2 linked regions of the Schizosaccharomyces pombe genome follow. The protein of the gene in region 1 binds, or shares a complex with, the protein of each later gene. Each region holds a gene or a part of one and is shown on either strand. Other genes may lie near its edges.

Region 1 (5,188 bases):
AAATTAAAAAAAAAATCATTGGTTTGCAAAAATCATCTTGTAACTTATGGTAATCATAATTTGCTAACTTCTTACATTTTTATATACCAGTTTTATTTACAACAAAAAGTTTTTACTACCACCTACAAAATACAAAAACTTGGATTTGTATCCAGTTCTTTGTCAAATTTTTAAATAAATTATTCTTTTATTGATTTATTTAAAGTTTAAGATGGTTGAGGAGTTAAAAAACGATGCACAGACAAATGAAGAAGAATCAGAATATAGCGACTTTAGTGATGGCTCTGACAATGATTACTTTAGGGAAGACGATATAGACTGGAATCAAGCTTCTTCAAGTAAGTTCATATACTGAATAGCCAAAAGCACTTTGCATGAATTTTTGTTACCATTTTTCATGATCATTAATAACATTTTTACTAGATTATTCTGCTAGACAGGAAAATTTTGGGAATAATTCTTCTAAGATCAATTCAGTTAATGATCACGTTTCTACGCTTAGTCGTTATGTGAATAATATAAAATTAAATGACAGGTTTGAGGCAGAGGGTAAGTGTAATATAGTTTAACTGCTCATAGGTTTTAGAACTCGAGGTCTTTTGATCCTTCACACTTTTACATTTTCATGTTTAATAGTACTGACAAATAAAGACAAGTCATCTATCAAGGATAAAAGTGACCGCGCTACATCTGAACAAGTGCTGGATCCCCGTACTCGAATGATTTTATTAAAATTAATAAATAATGGAACTATATCAGAAATTAATGGTTGTATAAGCACGGGAAAGGAAGCAAATGTGTATCATGCAACAAACGAGGATGGTAAACATTTTGCTATAAAAATTTATAAGACTTCAATCTTAGTATTTAAGGATCGTGACCGCTATGTTTCTGGAGAATTTCGTTTTCGTCATGGGTATAACAAGCGCAATCCCCGAAAAATGGTACGCTTATGGGCTGAAAAAGAAATAAGAAACTTGAAGCGTGTGGCTGCTGCTGGTATTCCTTGCCCAGAGCCAATCTTATTGAAGCAGCACGTTTTGCTTATGTCGTTTCTGGGGGACAAGAAAGGATGGGCATACCCCAAGTTAAAGGATATAGATATGACGCCTGGTGAGGCTACTAAATTATATCAGCTTGTAGCACGGAATATGCGTATTTTGTTTCATGTTTGTCATCTCGTGCATGCTGACTTGTCAGAATATAATTTACTTTATCATAAAGGTAAAGTTTATTTTATTGATGTATCACAATCGGTTGAACATGACCACCCGCAGAGCATCGATTTTTTAAGAATGGATATTTTAAACATTTCTACATTCTTTAGGCGTTTGAATGCTGGTTGCTTATCTTTACCTCAATTATTTAAATTCATTACTGAAGAAGGAAGTTGTGAAAAGGAAGCCATGAAAACCCGGTTAAATGCAATTTATGAGGAAGAACCTACTACAGAAGAATACGAAGAGGAATTCTTAAAAACTTATGTTCCTCGGACTTTAGATGAGGTATACGACATTGATCGAGATACTGAAATCGTAAACGCCGGAGGTGTTAATAGCCTTGTATATAAGCACTTATTAAATACAGACTTTCAAAAATTGGATTTAAATGACACTACAAAAAATCAAAACGATCAAATCCTCCCAAATGAGACTTCGGAGAGCGATGATGATGCAAATTCTATAAGTAGTATGGAAAATGAAGAAGAACGGACTTCGGATTCAAAATCATCTGCAAAACAAGGTAAAGGAAACGGACGTGCAAAGGAGACACCGGAGGAGAAGAGGGCACGGAAAAAAAAAACCAAAGAAGATAAGGCTGAGAAAAGAAAATCCAAGATTCCGAAGTATGAGAAGAAGCGCAAACTAAAACAATCTGGAAGAAAAAAGTAATCAGGGGAAAAAATTACGGTTATTTTATATAATTATCTTTATTGGAAAAGTCTATACAATACTCATAAACTAGTAGCATAACTAAAATCATTATACGTTTATAGACTTTAAAAATCGTAAAATATGGCTAACAGGGTCATCGCTTAGAGGCTGTAGTAGAAGATTTTTCACGTTGCTTCGATTTCTTATCGTTTTTATCAGGAATTACCTTTACGTTTGGCAATTCTGTATATTGGTGCTCTATAATTTCAAAATGTAAAGGAGGATCTGTTACAGCTCCCCATAGAGTCTGGGGTAAATAATCACCATATTGATTGAAAAAATCGATACGACATTTCGCCTCCGCCTGTTGTTCCTTCTCCAGGCGTCCCACAAATTCGTCCACAATGGATCTTACACAATTTTCATAGGTTTGTCGTCTGTGAATTTCCTGAAGGAGAGCGGTATACGCTTTAGCAAAATGTGTGTAATGTCTTTCAAGCTGCACGAGTTCTTGAGCTAATTGCGGAATCTCCAGGCCGGTTTGCGCCCTCATTAACTCATGCGCGGCTTCATGCCTTTGATTAGTCAACTGGTTTTTGTTTAACTCCTCAGCCAAGGCTTCCAAAATCGATGTTGCCGAATCTACCTTTGACTTATAACTTTGAACTGCGTTGAAATAATGAATTGTTTGATCTAATCCACTCCTAAGTTCTGTCAATACCGAAGGAACATGATTAGAGTCTGATTGAAGCACTTCTTGGAGATCTTTCTTCTCCGCATCAGAAAGGGTGTCATAAATATTGAGAGCTTCGGAGCATTGATCGTAATGTTGAGCAACTTGCAAAAGCAAATCCGCAAGTTCTTCGGCAGTATCGTTATAAGCGGGAGGTAAGAAGTCTAATGAAACAGCTTCTAAACGTTTATGATAATTGGCACACAAATCTTCTTCCAGTAAACCCGCTAGCTTTTCGAAAGCATTCCAAACACCATCAGTTACGCCTCGGAGCCTGGTTTTCAAATCTTCTAATGCAGTATCATCTACAAATGCATAAAGATTGGTATATTCGCTTCCTAAGGCTGGATCTAATGTACAGTCACGAAGACGTTTAAGTGACGATTCCAATCGATCATGAAGGACGTTTAATTGATTAAATGTTGGATAATTTTGAACTAGATCTAATAACTGCTTAATAAGAGCTGTTGAAGAGTCTAAACGAGTACATTGAGATGCTGTGAGCTTCGCCAACTCTTTTAGCTGTTGATGCTGCTTTATGGAATTTCTCAAATCAGTTTTTGCATCTTCATTAAACTTATGTGCATCACCACACAGTTGCCTGGCTTGAGTAAGAGCTGCTTTGGCTTGCTGAGTCCACTGCTGCAACAATTCCATCACCGCACTCACGCGGTAAAACTGTATTCCTCTTGTATGCACTCCACTGGAAAAGAAACTATATAGATATATAAGGATAGATATATATTTATATATATATCGGCCAACAAACTTTTCAAAAGGACCTTTAATACAAAGGAATTGATTGTGAAGCAGAGTTGTATGCTTGCGGCGAAATTGAAATATAGCAAGTGAGCGCATGTAGCACATATTAATGAGAGCTTGCGAACTACAGCAAATAAATTGCACAATATTGCAGTTGTTTTTCGCTATTTTTCTTTATTTACATAAAGTTGACTGAAGCGATAATTATAATATAGTTAAAACCATAAACGAAAACTAAGAAGAAGAAATGTTTGTTAAGAGTACTATAGCTATGAATAGTAATGATTAAGCAGTAAATCTTTTCAGAATTATTGTGGTTCAAAAGTAAACAGACTATTATTTTTTAAGAGAAAATTTCAGATTAGCTGATCATATTAATGGCACTTCGATGTTTAGCGGAGCTACGAAAACATCTTTAAAATTCTGCAAGACAAAGCGCTGTTATTTGGACAATTGATATCTATTAGCCTTGAAGGAGAAAAAGGCTATAAAAATAATTTGTTATGAGATTTGTATAGTCAGACCTTTAAAAGCTGCTTTGATGATGATACAAATTATTTAAGTATGCTTTTATCAACTATTCAAATAACAATAATAGTGAACCTATGGAATTAAGGGAATTCCAGATGGGACCTTCTTTCGATATTGTTCGTAAGAATCACCAAAAAAACTAACTAAGTAAGCTTCTTCGGTAGTAATTCGCTGTGAGAAAAATTTCCAAAGAACTAGAGAAAATAGTAATGTTGAGACAAAATTTCCTAACAACATTTGAGTGCCCAAAGCCCAGATAAAAAACCCAACGTATGATGGGTGTCTAACGTAAGCATAAATCCCATCAGTGACAAGCAAATGATCTTTATTTCTTTTACTAGCTACAATGTGAGAAAAAGATTGACCGGCTTGTACCATTGCAGAGGATCGTAGATATTGTCCCAAACAAAGAAATCCCAGAGCAGATGTCTGATATACCGAAAATATAAAGTTGATTAAGAAGCTCGGAAATCTTAAGCAATTTATTACCTTAGCAAAACTTTTTCCGCCACTTAATAAGCATTCTAAAAGGCCGACTAACATCGCTAACCAGTAGGCTTTGCCATTATTCAATATGAAAGAATCCCATGATAACTGACTACCTTGAAAACGAGCAGTAATGTAAAACTCTAATAGATGAAAAAGACTCAGAAATGCAAAAAAACCTCCAATACTATATCCGTATATAATCCATACGAAAAATCCCAAACCAAAAACACAACCAAGAAAGGCGCTGGTTAAGCAAATAGATGCTACAGCTATTGACGTATGTAAATTCCCCATGATTGTATATTAAATTCAGGTATGTGAATTCAACTTTCTTTATTAAATTTATCGAGAAGAATTATTGAGTCAAAATGTCCTAACAAACTAACTCATACACATTTAGAGATGTTATAATTATTAATTATTGGAGGAAAGACACGAGAAGAAATAAAATTTATGCAAAGAGGGATATTCCTTGCTTTAGCCTGGTTTTCGAGTTATTAGGATATTTTCAAAATTTCCTGCTTAAAATTATAGTTGACACAATAGGGAAGTAAAACAAAGAAAATCATACTCATATTGTATTACTTAAGTTTTGACTTCTTTTCTTTGTATTGGCTCTAATAGTTGCTAAAAGTTGTATTATATTAATGTAGTAAACCTCGATATAACAAAGAATTCAAATACTCTGTCATTAATCAATTTGCAAGTTATGAATTATTAAAAAAGAACTCTTTCTCAGTTTTGTCTAAACATATCCGATTACAAACTGATATCAACTTGTTTTGCAAATAATGAGCCA
Region 2 (5,439 bases), on another chromosome or scaffold:
TTATTTGCATTGGCGACAAGTAGACTGTCATATTAATAACCTTTACAATACTACCTTCTGGATGTTAATACTCAAAGGAGGTTTCACAAACACTCAAGCCGAGGAGTACCTAAAGGTAAGTAGCTCATTTTTTTTTATGTAAACCCTAGCGATTTATCTTCCTTTCAATAAAAACTAACCACTTTCACCTTTTGGGTGAATTACTTTACAGGGTACCGTCAGCGCAGAAAAACATGAAATTTTGTTCTCAAAATTCGGCATCAACTATAATTTTGAACCAGAGATATACAAAAAGGGCTCGATTTGGATTCGTGAGGTATGCTCGACAAACTTTGTTTAAATTAATTTTTGCTTACTTATTTAATTTAGCCTATTGATCAAGAATGGCATCAACAAGACAAAAAGTTCTCCGTAAAACAAAAGAAGAAAATGGTTTTATCTATCCTTCACGTAAGTCTGATAGACGATGACTTTTGGACTTCAAGGCCATTTCTTGAGGTATTGTTACAATAATTTCCTTTCACACATTTGTAAATTATGGGTCGTTTGAACAAAAACATTATCACTCGTTTAATTGTTTCTCTCATGCAGTCATCAGCTCTAGGCCGTATAAAACAAATCTTTGTTTTGGAAATCAAAAAAGTACTAGATTCTTGCCTTGATACGTTAAATAGCTGTTTTACTTGTTTGAAAAATTTAAGAGAAAAAAAATAATATGCACGAAATTTGAATAGAGATAAACCTCAATAAATAAGAGTTAAATATACGGGACTATCAACCCTATGTATAAAAAAAGCAAAATTAAAAACGTCTATATTAAAAAGTTATATAAATAATATGGTCATAACAACGAATTCATAACAAAATTTAGACTCAGAGCTCAGCTCATACAATATGCGAATTTGTTCAATAAAAGGGCGAAATCGTCGGTGTTCAAGCAAGATTGGGGGCAAGTGTTATTTTCGCAACACTTTCTGTTACTTTGTTGGCTACATTAGCCTGGATTTGTTTCGATTGTAAAAGTTCTTGCCTTTTCGTTATCAAAGCAATCAAATTTCTTATGGTTACTGAATTATTGGAATCGTTAGCACCGTCTGGAGTCGAAAAATTACTCTCAAGAAGTGACTCCAACAAATGTGCTGCAAGCCGGTAATTTTGTAAACAAGCCTGTGCATCATTTCCTGACAGTTCACTAGTGGCTGCATTTCTGGATAGGTCCAATGCTCTATGATAAATTAATTGAGAAGCTGACACAGGTTTGGTAGTTGGCAAAGAATGTGCGGCACTTTGAGAAATAATAATTTCACGTAAAAATTGGGATTTCTCAAGACTTTCTGAATACCTTTGACGAAACCATTCAATGGCTTGTTGGCAATCAGGAGATGCACGTTCTTCAGAGTTGGCCCAAAAAGCAGCAACACCGTCAAACGCCACTTGTAACAGCTCAATGTCTCTCTCATAAAGTACATACGATTCCTTGGCTAACATAACCAATGAAAAAGGAGTCAAAGGTCTATCCAAGAGTGTATCTCCAGGCTTCATTTCATCAGACAAAGAAGGAATAATTTGAGCAAGCTTCACTTCAGCCAGATGGTAGACAGAGTTTGATTTCATCGCTATACTTTCTAAAACATCAAGCAATCTTTTACCGGTGTCAGGTAAGGAAGGTTGGATAATGTTGACATTGTTATCCAAATTGCTTTCTTTTGTAGGAAGGGATGTGTTTCCATTATCTGTCATACCATCCACTACAACTTCATTAAGCCTAGCGTTTGCAACATTTAGTGCTCGTTCTAGAGCGCTTTTATTTCGCGCACCACCTCCAGATTGAGGTACATGTGCTGTAGCTTGCTCAAACGCACGACGTAGTTGAGTGACTGGGGTTGAAGCAATGTAGGTAGGATTAGAAGGGAAAGCATTGGGTTTCATGTAAGGGATTTGCATCCGGCTAGTATGGGGAAACGCATGATTATTTACAGGAGCGCTTTCAGGAGAGAAACTACCTTGAAAAACACCTTCGTTTGGTGAAGGCGAGTTACCATTGATTGATTGCTCGTGGGTTAGGCTTTCATTGGAAAGTTGGGTAGAAGAGATTATGGGATGATGGTCCACTACGACATAGGCGCTACTTTTGTTCGAAGTATCACTTGTCAACTTAGCAGGAGATGCCATGGGTATAGGTTGCTTAGAGGTTAATCGAGGAGGGAAAATGCTAGCAGCAGGAGCACTTTCAGGAGGAAACACGGGGGTGTATGGTAAAGTGTTTCCATCTTGTGCATAGCGATGAGGCACCCTTCGACCGGTAATTTCAGAGGGCTGAATACTAGACCCCTGAGCTTGGAAAGCTTGACGCAACAAACCGCCTGGAGGAGCAGGAGCGCCAGGATTACTTTTTGGGAAAAAATCGGTTATGTAGGCAGGACTAGAAGATGGAATGTTTATTTCCTTAACCGCATCTTGAATATCGCTACCGGTCAAAGTAGATGCGTCATCTAATGGAGTAGTGACAACAATACTGGAAAAGAAACCGTCGTAGTCGATACGATCAGCCGGATTTTGCTTCAGCAAAGCACAGATAAGGGTTTTAATGTCCGGGTGAATGAAAGCTTCTTCAGGAAACTTGATGACATCTTTAGCTTTTTGAATCCTCCTAAGAAGTTCGACATGATTTGGGGCCTTGAAGGGAGGCTTTCCAACAGCCATTTCGTATAACACAGCACCTACTGACCACAAATCGGCTTTAGCATCATATTTCTCGTAACGAAGTATTTCGGGCGCCATATACAACGGAGAGCCACATAGAGTTTCCGCCATACTAGACGTTTGAAGGTAACGTGCAAAACCAAAGTCTGCTAATTTAAGCATTGGTAGCTTGGGACTTCCCACAAACTGGGGATGCTCTTCCAGATAGGCAGCGGTGGGTGGTGGTTGTAAAAGAAGATTTTGGGGTTTGACATCTCGATGAATTAAAGAACGCGATCGTAAAAATTGGAGTGCAGAAGCAAGTTGTTGGGTAAAATGCCGAACCAACGTCTCATTCAATCCAGCCTTGTAAACTGGCGGATGATCGATGTTGATCCAGGCTAAGGAGGGAATACTGTTAAACTTTTCTCGCTTTCGAATAAAATAACTCAAATCTCCTAGGGAGCAATACTCCATGACCAGGTGAATGAACCGCCCAGCCTTAATACAGTCTATCAGTTCCACAACATGCACATGACGGATCTCTTTAAGGATTGAAATTTCACTTTCTAAATTCTCCAAAAGTTTCTTAGTAAGCTTCTTTGTCAATACGCTTTTAATAGAGATCACTCGATTCGTTTCCTGCAACACGATTAGCCACCAAATTCCATTGAAACAGACAAGCAGTTGCTTCTTTTACTTACCGTGTGCTTTCCTTTATACACAATTGCGAAAGATCCACGTCCAATTTCCGATCGAATGACATAGGGACCAATTGTTTGATTTGTACTCGTCTGTAAGTTCATACAGCTTCTGGTTCACGATAAGACAGGTGTAAGGGTTTTAGCTGCCTTTATACTCACTTTGATAGCATGGGAGTTGGCAAGGATAGCGGGTCGCCATTGATAATATAGCTGCGTAAAAGGCACTTTCCGCACTGGGCTTTAATACCTTAAAATAAATTGCGATCGTGGTGCGGCTGTAAAAGGTAACAGGAGATATGGTTTCGGGATAACAAGTTTTATGGGAGTAAGCACTATGAATAGAATGCGAGTTTATAGAGGAAATTGTATTAACTCAATGAATTATAATATTTTACACACATATACCTGCTGGTAGTGTCTAAATTCTTTGAAATTGTTCCCTTTTTGTGCAGCTGAAAAATGCCGAAAGTGGGTTAAGACGAAATAAATGTGTTAATTTTTGCCATGTCAGTTACCGATTTGAGTACGGAAAGCAAGTGTGTGTGGAATTAGAGGATAAGAACGGAAGTAGATAATACTCCAGACGAAGCGTAGATACCCGCGAAAAGGCAAATTAGTTGGAAAAGGCGATTGTCATGGATAGAGTGATCGAGGCAGATGAAAATGCAAGTGTAAATAGAGGGTAAATTTGGATAAAAAACCGGCGGCAGATGTACAACTTGTACCACTGTACCAGTTTCATGCCATATAGAAATAATATAAAAAAAAAAAGTAAACTGGATTTAAAAGACAAAAAAAAAAGAAAAGAAGGAGCCTACAGCACCCCGGATTCCCATGTTGTCTCCAACCATAGTACTAACGAGGCCCTCAGACGCTTAACTGCAGTGATCGGACGGGAACTGGTGTTTTCGCCTAGGTATGGCCGTAGACATTTGTTGTGTTAAATAATAATATTTATGGTTGAAGAAAAGAATATCATTTTTTTTATGCAGTGTGAGTTTTGGCTCAAACGCATGTATATAATACTACAAAACAGGGAATTGGGCAATGACTAGTATTCAAACATGCCCTGAGGACTTGAAGACCATAATGGAAGGTAAGAACTCTCTTGCAGAAAATTAAAAGAAAATTTCCAATCATAATATGTTGCTTTTCTCTTTATTGATATATACGAGATTGGTTGTGGAATCCAAATTTCTAAAACAGACTTTAAAGTCAACATTAGCGAAAACGCTACTGAAAACAAGCAACGTTATAAAAAATTCACCTTCTCACCATGAATAGTTTAATTTTGTATTTGCGTGATAATAAAATAAATAAATTAATTCGAGAATATAAAATAAAAAAAGTTTTGAAACTGAATATAAGTGCTTGTTGCCAATAATACTGCAATGAAGTTTGAAACAAAAAATAAAAAAAAATAAAGTAAAAATAATAAGTTAATCAAAATTTTGATTTTGTAGCAATAAATAAATTAATGAATTTTTTTTTAATCTATTATTTTCTAGGAAATTTGGAAAATTAATAAATGGAATTAAAATGCTTATGCTCCGAGTCGTACACTGTTTAATTAATTTTAAGCAAGCAAAAATAATATACTGTTCGTTTCGAAGCAACCTATTCTACTTAAAATTGTGCCACGATATCCGCTCAGATACTCGTTGTTATACATTTCTCAATAAATGAATATTTTGATCTTCCTAAATATGCGAACTGTAATAGTCAATTACCTTTAAATATATGACTGATTGAATAGCAAAACTATATATACATATATTTTGTAATATCATTTTTACCGAAATTTATAGTCCGTTTTAGTTTTATTCGTTTCATAGTCACATCTGCCATCTTTTTTTTGCTCACGTTGGTTTTTTGTAAACAGTATTCTCAGTGGATGCTGTTGTTAAGGTGATTATGATTTAATGATAGGCCTGGCAATACGTAAAATTTTTCTTTTTATTTTATTAAAGGAAATCTATTTACGTCGAATTAGTAACAAAGAGAATATGCAAAGAATTACATCTTTGGTTTATTTTTTCATATATAAGCACAT

What was found.
Region 2: atg17 (region 1) and atg1 share a complex: the UniProt entries of both Schizosaccharomyces pombe proteins name them as parts of the atg1 kinase complex.

Annotation. Positions count from the first base shown.
Region 1 is NC_003424.3:1,225,388-1,230,575, forward strand, and holds atg17 (autophagy-associated protein kinase activator Atg17), read right to left. Parts: upstream 3,435-5,188; 5' UTR 3,265-3,434; coding exon 2,029-3,264; 3' UTR 1,893-2,028; downstream 1-1,892. Other genes in the region: rio1 (RIO family protein kinase), read left to right, coding at 212-338, 424-549, 652-1,892; protein-S isoprenylcysteine O-methyltransferase Mam4, read right to left, coding at 3,973-4,683. UniProt on the Schizosaccharomyces pombe protein: Autophagy-specific protein that functions in response to autophagy-inducing signals as a scaffold to recruit other ATG proteins to organize preautophagosomal structure (PAS) formation.
Region 2 is NC_003421.2:849,117-854,555, forward strand, and holds atg1 (autophagy serine/threonine protein kinase Atg1), read right to left. Parts: upstream 3,567-5,439; 5' UTR 3,489-3,566; coding exon 3,387-3,488; intron 3,325-3,386; coding exon 934-3,324; 3' UTR 717-933; downstream 1-716. Other genes in the region: thg1 (tRNA guanylyltransferase), read left to right, coding at 1-115, 212-316, 370-513. UniProt on the Schizosaccharomyces pombe protein: Serine/threonine protein kinase involved in the cytoplasm to vacuole transport (Cvt) and found to be essential in autophagy, where it is required for the formation of autophagosomes.